Callithrix jacchus: one gene and its partners. The protein of the gene in region 3 binds, or shares a complex with, the protein of the main gene of each other region. Links are inferred from orthologs where the notes say so. Each region holds a gene or a part of one and is shown on either strand. Other genes may lie near its edges.

Region 1 (3,741 bases), about 100 Mb from region 3:
GATTAAATGTCACACTGAGTTAGAGGTGCTTAGCACAGGGTCTGACACATGATAAGCCCATGTCACCAATTATGATGATTGATTCTCCACGCCCGCCGCCGCCCCCCACCCACCAGGCTTTTCTCTGTCCACATCTGCTGTTTTAAAGAAGGAAGGCAAAGGAAACATATAGATATGGTCAAATGGATACACAGGACTATCTGACTTTAAATTACATGAGAACCCAGTGTGCCAAGTAGGAGAAACAGAGCCCCTTGGTGCTGCTCAGGGGAGGTTTTCAGAAGAAGTATATAGGGCAGGGAACAGGAGGACAATTTGCTAGATGGGTGGGAATGGCTGAGATCTCAGGGAAAGTGAAGGGTGGGGCAATCTGGGAAGCAGAGGGAATGGGGCAACAATGACCTGGTGATTGGGAGCCTAGAAAAACAGCCCAAAACTATGTTGGAGGCTGAGAGCGAGGAGGAGAGTTTCACAGGGAAGCAGAGCAGAGAAATCTTCATATATTGAATGTCTGCTGAATGCTAAACTCATTCAACAATTAAAACCTCACCGCACCCTTAGGGGCATCCTGATTTTTCAGAGGAGGACAGTGGTGCTCAGGGAAGTGAAATAACTTACCTAGTAACTGTCAGGGATTTAAGTCTCGGTCTGGCTGCCTCCCAAACACCCAAGCCATTCACTGACTAGGACATTAACAGTCCAGGTTAGGGGCTCTTAAACCATACCAGCCCTTCTCTATAGCCATCCGTCATCCTTCAGGCTCATGGAGGTCACTGCCCTCCCAGACCACCCACTGCAGCTCTGGACAGGCTCCCAGTCTTCAACCACACCTCACACACCACCACAATAAAATGCCAGAACCTGGAGTCCGGCCTCACTGGCTCTCCGGGGCTCTCCCCACGAGGTACAAGCAGAAAGAATAGGGTTTCCAGCCAGGGAAGGGCCCAGTGGGGATTTGGTGTTAGAGCCACTCTGAATTCAGAGCTCCGTGTCTACCCCAGTCTGATCTCAAGGAACCACCACTTTTTGGCACACCTGTCTAGGTGACCCTGACAGGGACCTGGACAACAGAACTAGCAGGGGCTTGAGGCTGTCCTATGCCTCCCAAAAGCACCCTGGACCTTCTCGGATGCCCTTTCTAGGCAGAAGGCAGGCTGGGCTTCCCACACACGTTTCCGGAAAGCAAAGGGCATGTTCGTCTGCCCACCCCAGGAAGCTGTAAGCTGCACTCCCAAGTCCAGAGCTCGGTGGGCCGGACGGCTTTGCGAGTTCTGGCAGAGGGCCCGTTATGTGAGTAGCTGACCCTTCCCAAGGGCAGCAGCGTGTCCCCCAGCCTTCCCCGCCGGTGCCCTGGGGGAGGGAGTCCGGGAGTAGAGAGGGCCAGCCCTGCAGTGCTGCCTGTTCCTGCGGCTCCTCTCGGTGAGGGTGAACACAGCACAAGAGTTTCTGCCACACTGCGGACCGCACCTGCTGCGTTTCCCTGCGAAGCCAAATCTTTGCTGGGTAACAGTGGGGTGGGAAGCCGATCTGGAGAAGGGGTCGCGCCGGCGGGAGAAAGGGCAAGAAAGGGGTCTGCAGAGCCTGTCTGGCGGCACCACGGTGATAGCAACACGTCTCCCGCGGGGCCGAATCCCGCCGTGGGCCTGGGATCGCTGCTATTGATGATCTCCTCCTCGCCTACTTTATTACATTGGCAGGAGCCTCTCACCAGCGCTCCTCAACTTCTGCCCTCCCCCATCTCCCGGCCCGGCAGCCCCCAGCTGAGCTCTCCCGGAGCTTCTGGTTAGTAAGCCCGGCTCTGCCAAAGAATGTTTTCCTCGCAGGGCGGGAGCTGAGACCCGGCGGCCCAACGAGGTGACTAGCTTGGTGGCGGCGGCGGGCAGTTCGTCCCCGGCCCCCGCCGGCCCCTTTAATTGGGGTTCGCCGTCGGGCCAGGTGCGGCGCTGCGTGGCGCGGTGCGGCTGCGGGCGGCGGCCGGGCGCTCCGTACGCGCCGCCCGCGGGACTGCAGAGCCGGCTCCCGGCTGGCCGCCCGCACCCCGCCGCCGCCCGCTGCCGGTTCTGCCGGCGCTGGCCACAGCCCGGGAACATGGAGGCCCCGGCGTCCGTCCGGAAGGGTAAATCCGTGTCTGGCGTTGCGCGGCGTTCCCAGCCCGACTGCGGCGCCCAGAGGGGCTGCGGGGCACCCGGCGGCGCAGCCTGCACGCAGCGGGCTCGGGCTGAGTCCCGGGCGGGCGAGCCGTTGCCGACCACTGCCGTCTGCTCGGCAGGTCCCGGACCGGGGAGATCAAGGGGAACTTGCACCCTGCTCAAGAAGAGTGCACAGAATGGGCTCGGGACCCTCTTGGGCGTGCGTGGCGCGGGGCGGAGGGGACAGGGAGGAGCTGTGGGTGGTGGGAAGTGCAGCTGGCAGCACAGCCGTGTCTGGTAAATAGCGCGGGTTGGTAGGACTCGAACCACTTGGGACGGCCGGGCTGCATCCGCCTCTCCGGCACAGAATAACAAACGGCTTTGCTGCAGAGAAGGGCTTTCCCCTCTCTCGCTGGGGCCGTGGGCTGCCGCGAAGCCCCCGCGCTTACGAGGAAGCTGAGATCGGGGGCAGCAGCCTGGCGCAGGCTACTCCTCACGCCCAGAGATCAGGCTCTGGGATTTTTGGGTGGAGACTGAGCCTCGGCGATCCCTCGGCTGGACCCGGGGGGCATGAGAGCTGAGCTGCGCTCGGGCCCGCAGCGGGAGCCGACCGCGCGGGCAGGAGGGGGTTAAGGTGGCGCTAGCGGCGGCGGCCAGCGGGAGGGTCTGGTCCTCGGCGCAGAGGCGAGCAGGGAGCGCGCCGGACGGAATCCCGGCCGGGGCCCGGGGCGATGGGGAGACGGGCCCAGACCCCTCCCCGCCCTGGGGCCGGCGGGATTGGGTCGGCAGGGGGCCAGTCCGGAAGCCTGCTTCCTTCAGGCTCCCCCTCTCGCTGCTGCCAAACCGCCTCGCAGCTAGGCAGGCTGAGCGTTTGTTCTGTGCTCCCTGCTGAGGAGACATGAGGGATTTTCTCTTGAGGGAGAAATCAGTGGTCGAGCGCCTGCCCAGCTCAAATGCCACCCGGCTCAGAGAGAGGCCTGCGGCCCAGGGATCCTGGAGGGAGAGTAAGTTCATCCAGCTTCCGTACAGTGGTGACTTTGTTGTGTGGGGTGTCTCCCTAGATGTGCCCTGAAGGAGTCTGTGTGTGCCGGAGGGTGGGGAGATTCTTTTCCAGGACCGGCTGAGGTCAGAGCTTGTAGACAGGCTGCAGTGAGCTAAGCCCTCCTCTTGGGAGATGCTGTATCCTGACATGTGGGGGTAGGGGTGCTCCTTCCAGAGTCCTTCCTGAGAGCAGCTGGGGACTAGGGACCTGGATCAACCCAGGGAGGCCCCTGGAATAGGCAGGCCCAGCTAAACCTGAGGCTTGCTCCCTGGGAGAAAGAGCTTCAAGCTGATGGGAAGCCTGCACAGAAGAGGCACGGAGGCTGAGGGATAGTCCTCAGGCCTGGCATCAGAATGGAGGGTGGGCATAGGGGCCTGCCACCTTCTATAAGGGAAGCTCCCAGACCCTCCTAAATCTTGGCACCAGCTGCCCAAATGCCCTGGTTCCACCTTGCTGCTGTTTTTTTCCAGGCAACGTCACACCTCCTGAGGACAGCCAGGACTCCAGCTTTTGCTGAGCTTTGCATCTTGCCTCCTTCCTTCCAAAGGCTCCAGACCCAGGCTCGGCTGT
Region 2 (3,741 bases), on a different chromosome or scaffold from region 3:
GACGCAGCGCCTCTGGGGGCGCAGCTCCAGCCGCACTCATAGGGCACGGCGCACGCCCCCGGCTCCTGCTGCCATGCGCCTCTGCGGGGGACCCTTTCCGAATAAATTGCAAGCTTTGAAAGTGGCCCAGTGGAGGCACTAGGCTGGGGAAAGAGGCTGCGGGAGGAGGGACAGAGGGTGGGAGGTGAGTAGGCGACTTGCTTCTCAGATTATTCCCAATTAGCACCAAGTTGGCAGACAACCCCACAAACCCACGAGGCCTTTGGTCCCCCACAAGTCACATTCTCTGTATTTCAGAATAATCGGTTCGTAAGAAAACTTCAAGTCCCATCGTAGGTTAAAGAGGGACAGGCTCTTAGCACCGCCGCCGCCCAGTAAAACTACATGGAAAGAACCCGTGGATCCTCAACTGCTGGGCTCTGCCCAAAGTCTGCAGCTCTGCGAGTCCAGCCGGCGGGGGGAGGCTGGGTGGACCCCGCAGAGAGCAAGGGCCTCCTTGAGGAAAGAGCGGGATGGGGCGCAGAGCAGTGCGATCGAAGAGGGTTACTGTGGGACTGCACAAAAGCAAACCCATCGGAGGAGTTTTGCCAGAAACACCACCTCCTGCATTGCGTCGGACCTGACCATTTCCAATGTGAAATTCCCGGGGAAGGTCGCGCGCCGCTAGCGGCAGTGCGTGGGCGGGGCAGGGCGGTGGGTCACAGGGGAAGTAGAGTTAGTGGTCGACTTTTCTGGTAGGAGAGGAAGAAGCTGTGCTGGCGAGGGTGGGAACTGAATGACAACCCCGCTCTCTTGCAAACCACCCCCTCATATTTTCCATCCACCTCCTCGCTCCTGCCCTCCCCCGCCCTCCCCAACCCACGCCCGGGTGGGCCAATCGCTGCTCCGTATTCCAGGCGCTTTCTCAGGTTTCTGCTGATCTTGCAGCGCCCAGAAATGGACAGAGCGGACCCGCCGCCGCAGGCACTCTGCCCGACTCCAAGCTCCTAAGGGCTCCCCGCGCGCCGCGTAGCCTCGGCGAGGTCCTCGCAGGGGTGCAGAGAGCGAAGGGAACTGGAGAGCCATGTAGATCCAGGCTCCTACCCGCCCGCCTCCTTCGGGATCGAATCAAGGGCTCGCATAGTGTTAGGAGGGGGCGAGAGTGCTGTTTATCGTCATTTGCCTCGGAGCTTCGGGAGAGGGTGGTATTTTGCTTTTCCGCCCTGCATCCTCCGGAACTCCCTGCACTGGAGAGAGGACGGCGTCTCCAGGTTGCTGGCAACCAGTGAGAATGGGGGTAGGAAATGAACATTTTCGCCGTTGCTGCTCCGTAACGCGATTGTCCAACTGAGAGGGGCGTCGGACGAGCGGACCAGGGAGGCTAGTTTGCCCGGCGCGTCTCGGATGCTGGCTGTGGTGACCGCCGGGGCTCCCGCCAGGGCACTGCAAAGGCGACCTGCCGCATTCCCAAGCCGGCTCTCCGCGGACGCAGCACCGCCCCTGCGCCAAGCCTGCTGGCCAGGTAGGGGGTTCCCCAGCTCCGGGCCGCAGAAGCGGGGGTTGGGGCGCGGGGTTGGGGAGGCCGGGGGTGTGGGGATGCTGCCCGGGACCCGGAGCTTCCCCCGGTGTCTCTGGGCGCTTTTCCGATCTCTAGTTTAACGAAGTTGTAAACAGATCGGCTGTTGGGCATTGGGGAATGTGGGATGGAAGAGCCCCAAACTTGGATTTCCGGGTGTCTGCGTGTCTGTCTGTCCGTGTGTGTGTGATAACCCTAGCAAACGTCCAGTGCTTTCTCAAGCTAGAGGTCTGTGTTCTTCGGTGTCTGTAGGTCCGTCCCATCGGAATGCTTCTGATTTTCTACCCCCGTATCACTTTCTATTTCTCTGCAGCGTCCATCGATCGCCCTGGTGGGAGCTTAGAAGGCGGCAGGCGAAGAGGGGTAGGAGGGGGGAGAGCCGAGGAGAAGCAGAGAGGGTGGCAGGCGTGGGGATCTGCTGAGCCGGCACTGCACCGGGTCCTAGGAAGGCTCTCGGAGGGGAGGGGAGGCCAGGGCGACCCCCGAAGCGATGGCCCGGTCCGCTAGAACAGCACTGCGTTAAGGCTCCTCGGATCAGTAAAAATTATCTTAAAAAAGAAAGAAAAGAAAAAAGCCAACCCCAACCCAAATCCAACCCTCGGCAAAAAGCTGCACCGGCCAGCAGGCAAGGGGGATTCCAAATTGAGTGAAAAGCAGGGTGGAGGGGAAAGCAGCGCGAGGCGAAGTCGCATATCTCCCGAACTGCTCGCTTTGAATCCCCTCCCCCTGGGCGTGAGGGAGACTCGCACTCCGGTGGGGGGGCCGCTTGGGTCCCCCCCACCTCCGGCTCCTGGCTCTTTCCCACCCCGGGCTCTCTCCTGGCCTCCCACCCCCCGCGCCCGACTTCCACCATGACGGTGATGTCTGGGGAGAACGTGGACGAGGCTTCGGCCGCCCCGGGCCACCCCCAGGATGGCAGCTACCCCCGGCAGGCGGACCACGACGACCATGAGTGCTGCGAGCGCGTGGTTATCAACATCTCCGGGCTGCGCTTCGAGACGCAGCTCAAGACCCTGACGCAGTTCCCCAACACGCTGCTGGGCAACCCTAAGAAACGCATGCGCTACTTCGACCCCCTGAGGAACGAGTACTTCTTCGACCGCAACCGGCCCAGCTTCGACGCCATCCTCTACTACTACCAGTCGGGGGGCCGCCTGCGGAGACCGGTCAACGTGCCCCTGGACATGTTCTCCGAGGAGATCAAGTTTTACGAGTTGGGCGAGGAGGCCATGGAGAAGTTCCGGGAGGACGAGGGCTTCATCAAGGAGGAGGAGCGCCCTCTGCCCGAGAAGGAGTACCAGCGCCAGGTGTGGCTGCTCTTCGAGTACCCAGAGAGCTCGGGGCCCGCCAGGGTCATCGCCATCGTCTCTGTCATGGTCATCCTCATCTCCATCGTCATCTTTTGTCTGGAGACGCTCCCCGAGCTGAAGGATGACAAGGACTTCACGGGCACCGTCCACCGCATCGACAACACCACGGTCATCTACAATTCCAACATCTTCACGGACCCGTTCTTCATTGTGGAAACCCTGTGCATCATCTGGTTCTCCTTCGAGCTGGTGGTGCGCTTCTTTGCCTGCCCCAGCAAGACGGACTTCTTCAAAAACATCATGAACTTCATCGACATTGTGGCCATCATTCCTTATTTCATCACCCTAGGCACCGAGATAGCTGAGCAGGAAGGAAACCAGAAGGGCGAGCAGGCCACGTCGCTGGCCATCCTCAGGGTCATCCGCTTGGTAAGGGTTTTTAGAATCTTCAAGCTCTCCCGCCACTCTAAGGGCCTCCAGATCTTGGGCCAGACCCTCAAAGCTAGTATGAGAGAGCTAGGGCTGCTCATCTTTTTTCTCTTCATCGGGGTCATCCTGTTTTCTAGTGCAGTGTACTTTGCCGAGGCGGAAGAAGCTGAGTCGCACTTCTCCAGTATCCCCGATGCTTTCTGGTGGGCGGTGGTGTCCATGACCACTGTAGGATACGGTGACATGTACCCTGTGACAATTGGAGGCAAGATCGTGGGCTCCTTGTGTGCCATCGCTGGTGTGCTGACAATTGCCCTGCCCGTACCTGTCATTGTGTCCAATTTCAACTATTTCTACCACCGAGAAACTGAGGGGGAAGAGCAGGCTCAGTTGCTCCACGTCAGTTCCCCTAACTTAGCCTCTGACAGTGACCTCAGTCGCCGCAGT
Region 3 (3,741 bases):
AATTAGCACACACAAAAAAGACAGTAACCTATGGAAACTGCACAGGGGAGCTGCAACGAACAGAGCCCTAAGTCAGAACCAGGTGACGCTACCCACGGTCATCAGAAACGCTCTCTTTTTGCCAACTGCACACACGTGAGAGGCTGGATTTCCTTCGCAGACGTCCACCAAAGCCACACATGGCGACATATGGAGACAAAAAGCAGCGGTCACCTAAGAAGACAGACATGAGGAATCTCGGGCAGCAGGGGGGCCTGCACGTGTGGGGAAGGGCACGCGGGAGCGGGTGTCGTGTTCCGGGTCCGGTCGGCCGGGAGATCCCAGGGCAGGAAGGGGGCGCGGAAGGCCGAGGTGGCCCCGGACAGAAGAGAGCCTCGCGGGCACGCCCGAGGGCCGCAGAGCAACAGCCGGGTACAGCAGGAGGGAAACGGAGGCGAAGGTGGGGTCCGCGGGCTCCGGCCGGGGAAGGATGTACGCAGACCCAAGAACCAGGTCAGCGGCACCACAGTTCCTTCAGCCGAAGGGCTGCAGAGGGGGCAGGAGGCAGGGGGCAGGGGGCAAAGGGCAGGGGCAGAGGGGGAATCCACGTAGCCCAACTGCAACCGGCGGCCCGGGCCGCACCAAGTGTCCCGACGAGGGGGGAAGCCTGCGACTGACGCGGGGACAGGCCTCGCCGAGCGCCGCCGCCAGACTCCAGGCACCCGGCCCCCACACAGAACGGCACGGACCATCCTACCCCAGAACCCCGAGGCTCCGGCAGACACTGCAGCCCGGTGCGCCTCGAGGCCGCGTCCAACCTCCCCCGTGGCGTTGGCCCACATGGTTCCGCCCGCCGCGGGCCGCGTTACCTAAGAGACCGGCCCGCCGCGGCCACGCCGGAGGCCGCGGAACCCACGCTTTTGAGAGAGTCCCCAGTCGACAGACCCAAAGGCCCGGCAGCCGGTGCTCAACGCAGCCGGAGGCCTTAAGGACCGAAAACTGGCCGAGGGGCGCGCCCCGTCCGCTGCCACCCGCGGGAGGAGCCTTGGAAGGCTGCGCGCGCCGCGCACTTCAGGCCGAAAACCCGCCTCGCGTCACTTTTGCCGTCAGGGCCGCGGAGCCAATCAGAGCCCAAGTCTAGGGCTAGACTTCGCGAGCGCCAGCCAATCGGTGCGGCGGCGGGCCCGTCCTGATTTGCATGTCCGGCGACCCTGCAACCAATGGTAATGTGACTGGCGTGAACAGCAGCCAATTCGAAGCTGGAAGAGGCGTGGCCCCGGGCGTCCCACGAGGTGAAGATGCTGCTGGCGGAACCTGCCGGAGCGAGCGGGATTCGGGGGCGCTAAAGTCGCAGGGGCAGGGCGGGAAGGAAGATCCGGCGTGGGGCTCAGGATCCGGAGCTGGAGCCCCCAGGTGAGTACGGGGGAGACCCCGGCGGGGCGCGCTTTCCCCCGACCTGCGCCGGGACGGCGGCAGCGGGCACCCACGAGGCTCGCGCTGCGGCAGGCGCCGCGGTGCCGTCTCCATCTCCTCTTCCCCGGCCCTGCGTCCCTGCCTCCGCCTCCATCTCACCTCCTCCTCAGCCTCCTCACCTCCTTCTCCGTCGTCTCCCTTCCCCCATTCCTTCCTCCCTTTCCTTCGCGGTCCTCCCGCCCGACCCTTCAGCTCGCATCCCAGACCCCTGCCCCTGCCGCCGTCCCTCTCCTTCACCCCGGTGCACCTCTTCCCCGTCTCGGCCCGCTCCGGTCCCCGCAGCCTCGCCCTCCCCTTCCCTCCTTCCTCCTCCCATCCCCTCTCCCGGCCTTCGCGCAGCCCCACCGGGGCGCTGCTGGTCCCGGTCCTCCCCATCTCTACCCCCGGTTGCTCCTCAAGGCTCACCCATCGTTCTCGCAGCCTGTCCCTGTATCGCTCCGGTCCTTTTCTCCATCGTCCCTCCCTCCCATTCTGCTCCCAGCCCCTCCGACCTCTCCCCGCGGGCACGCTCTCATCACCTTACCTGGCTCCCCAGGACTGTGACCCTGCTTCCTGCACCCGTTCCTCGAGCTGTCTACACCCTTGAGCCCCTACTATCTTAAGCTTCTCCCTCCTGCCAGGCCTTGGCACAAAGCACTTCCCTACCTGCTGCTGCTCCCAGGAGGGATGCAAAGACCCCGCTGCTGCACCACGTCCTGCGGCACTAGCAGTGGCAGCAGTCGGGGTACCTGCCCACTTTCCCACCCCCCCATCCAGGCGCATCCTGGCGTTGCTCCTCCTGCCATTTGTCCTGGGGCCTCCTGCAGGGGCTGTGCTTTGCCTGCAGCATCCCAGGGTGCTCCAGGTGGGAAGCCCCTTAACACCCTTCCTCCCTGGCCACCATCTCCCTCCCTCCCCGCCCCCACTTTCCTGCTCAGCCTCACTTTGTGATTCAGCATTTTTGGGGTTGGTAACTTTCTTGCTTCCTGTAGTGATAGGGACCTGGCCACGAAACTGAAGGCAGGGGGTCTTGACCCTGCAGTTAGAGGGCTACCTTAGGAACCGGACCTGAGCTGCCTGGTTGGGAGGGGGCTGAGGAGCTGGGGACAGCCAATGGGGATGGCCTTTTCCTCCCTTTCATTTGTCTGCCCTGTGTTGAACTGTGTCCAAGCGGAGATGGCATAAGTAATAGCTATTGGGGAAATGGACTATTAGCATTTATGGAAATTAATACATCCACATCCGAGGAGCAGGAACACCAAGTTCAGGCCACAGCTGTCCCACTGTCTGTCGCTTCAGGATTTCTTCTTTCTCTGCAACTTCTCCCCCTCAAAAACGCCAGCCTCCTCCCTCCCCTTCCCCCCAGTGCCAAGAGTAAGCTCCTGCTTTGCTAAGGAAGCCGCATTCAGGCCCCGCGTTGCAGGGTTTGGGGACCTATGTGTGAAGAGTCGCATCTGCCCACCTGATTCTTGCCTGGTGGCTCTGTCTCCCCCAGAACCCTGTGCAGCTCCTGGCCCTGTGATTTGACAGTGTGGGGCCGTAAGAATGCACTTGGTCCCCCAGGTCCTGCCATTCTTTCTGGAGACAGCTCTCCAAAGCCACACTCGGCCTCGATGGCACTGACGGTGTTGGGCTGCATGCAGCACATCTCTGCCTGGAAAGCAGCATGGTAGAGGCTTCCCTGTCCATACCCAGGGCCATTTTTTTTCCCTGCGCCAGTCAGCACATGCTTTGTCAGTGCTAATCGGCACCTGGGGACTGAGCCGGGCACTGGGGCTGGTGGTGTCGTAAAAAGTGTGAAACCCTTGTCATGTGTTTCTTGGTTCACAACCATCTTAGTCTGGATACAGAGCTGGATGGGAAGCAGGGTGCACAGAAGCCATCACACCCAGGAGATGGGACATGGGCCACCATGCTAGGGAACTGGAAAGACCGAGGGTGCCACGGGATGGCCAGCTAGAGAAGGCTTGCTCACTTTCTTTCCTTTTTCAGCAATCTTCTAAGACCCAAATGATTCAGGAGGAAGTGAGCGCCACACGGTTTTGATTTGGCAGTTTCCGGCCTGGGCTTGGAGGGAGGGACCTCCCCCAGACCTTCCTGTGTGTTGGTGCTCTGCCATGGTAACATGCTTCCATTTCCAGGGACTCTGGCCAGGAGTGGCATGTGTTTGGTTCTTGGCTAAATTCTCTGTGATTGTCACGTTGTTAGAGTTCCCAGAGAGAATGTTTTTCTGGGGTCCCTGAATAAGGAGGCAGGACAGTGGGCCACTGGGAGCGGTATTCGAGAAGGTTTGATGCCAGAGGTGTCTAA

What was found.
Region 1: the proteins of KCNAB2 (region 3) and KCNA2 are in contact, whole or in part, in a crystal structure (PDB 5WIE), measured with the Rattus norvegicus proteins. The link is inferred for Callithrix jacchus from reciprocal best matches to the Homo sapiens genes KCNAB2 and KCNA2. Residues at the interface, in NP_059000.1 of Rattus norvegicus: Met193, Met196, Tyr199, Ser200, Arg203, Glu231, His234, Lys235, Ile236; in NP_037102.1 of Rattus norvegicus: Asp28, Glu33, Pro62, Met66, Phe69, Asp70, Pro71, Leu72, Arg73, Asn74, Tyr76.
Region 2: the proteins of KCNAB2 (region 3) and KCNA1 are in contact, whole or in part, in a crystal structure (PDB 1EXB), measured with the Rattus norvegicus proteins. The link is inferred for Callithrix jacchus from reciprocal best matches to the Homo sapiens genes KCNAB2 and KCNA1. Residues at the interface, in NP_059000.1 of Rattus norvegicus: Met196, Tyr199, Ser200, Arg203, Glu231, Lys235, Ile236; in NP_775118.1 of Rattus norvegicus: Glu37, Met70, Phe73, Asp74, Pro75, Leu76, Asn78, Tyr80.

The regions. Positions count from the first base shown.
Region 1 is NC_133508.1:148,471,458-148,475,198, reverse strand, and holds the start of KCNA2 (potassium voltage-gated channel subfamily A member 2), read left to right. Parts: upstream 1-1,165; 5' UTR 1,166-1,290; intron 1,291-1,400; exon of another isoform or gene 1,401-1,854; intron 1,855-1,985; exon of another isoform or gene 1,986-3,133; intron 3,134-3,641; 5' UTR 3,642-3,741. UniProt on the Homo sapiens protein: Voltage-gated potassium channel that mediates transmembrane potassium transport in excitable membranes, primarily in the brain and the central nervous system, but also in the cardiovascular system.
Region 2 is NC_133510.1:18,519,183-18,522,923, forward strand, and holds the start of KCNA1 (potassium voltage-gated channel subfamily A member 1), read left to right. Parts: upstream 1-932; 5' UTR 933-1,501; intron 1,502-1,868; 5' UTR 1,869-2,406; coding exon 2,407-3,741. UniProt on the Homo sapiens protein: Voltage-gated potassium channel that mediates transmembrane potassium transport in excitable membranes, primarily in the brain and the central nervous system, but also in the kidney.
Region 3 is NC_133508.1:43,885,890-43,889,630, forward strand, and holds the start of KCNAB2 (voltage-gated potassium channel subunit beta-2), read left to right. Parts: upstream 1-1,298; 5' UTR 1,299-1,392; intron 1,393-1,857; exon of another isoform or gene 1,858-1,925; intron 1,926-1,975; exon of another isoform or gene 1,976-2,097; coding exon of another isoform or gene 2,098-2,214; exon of another isoform or gene 2,215-2,349; intron 2,350-3,741.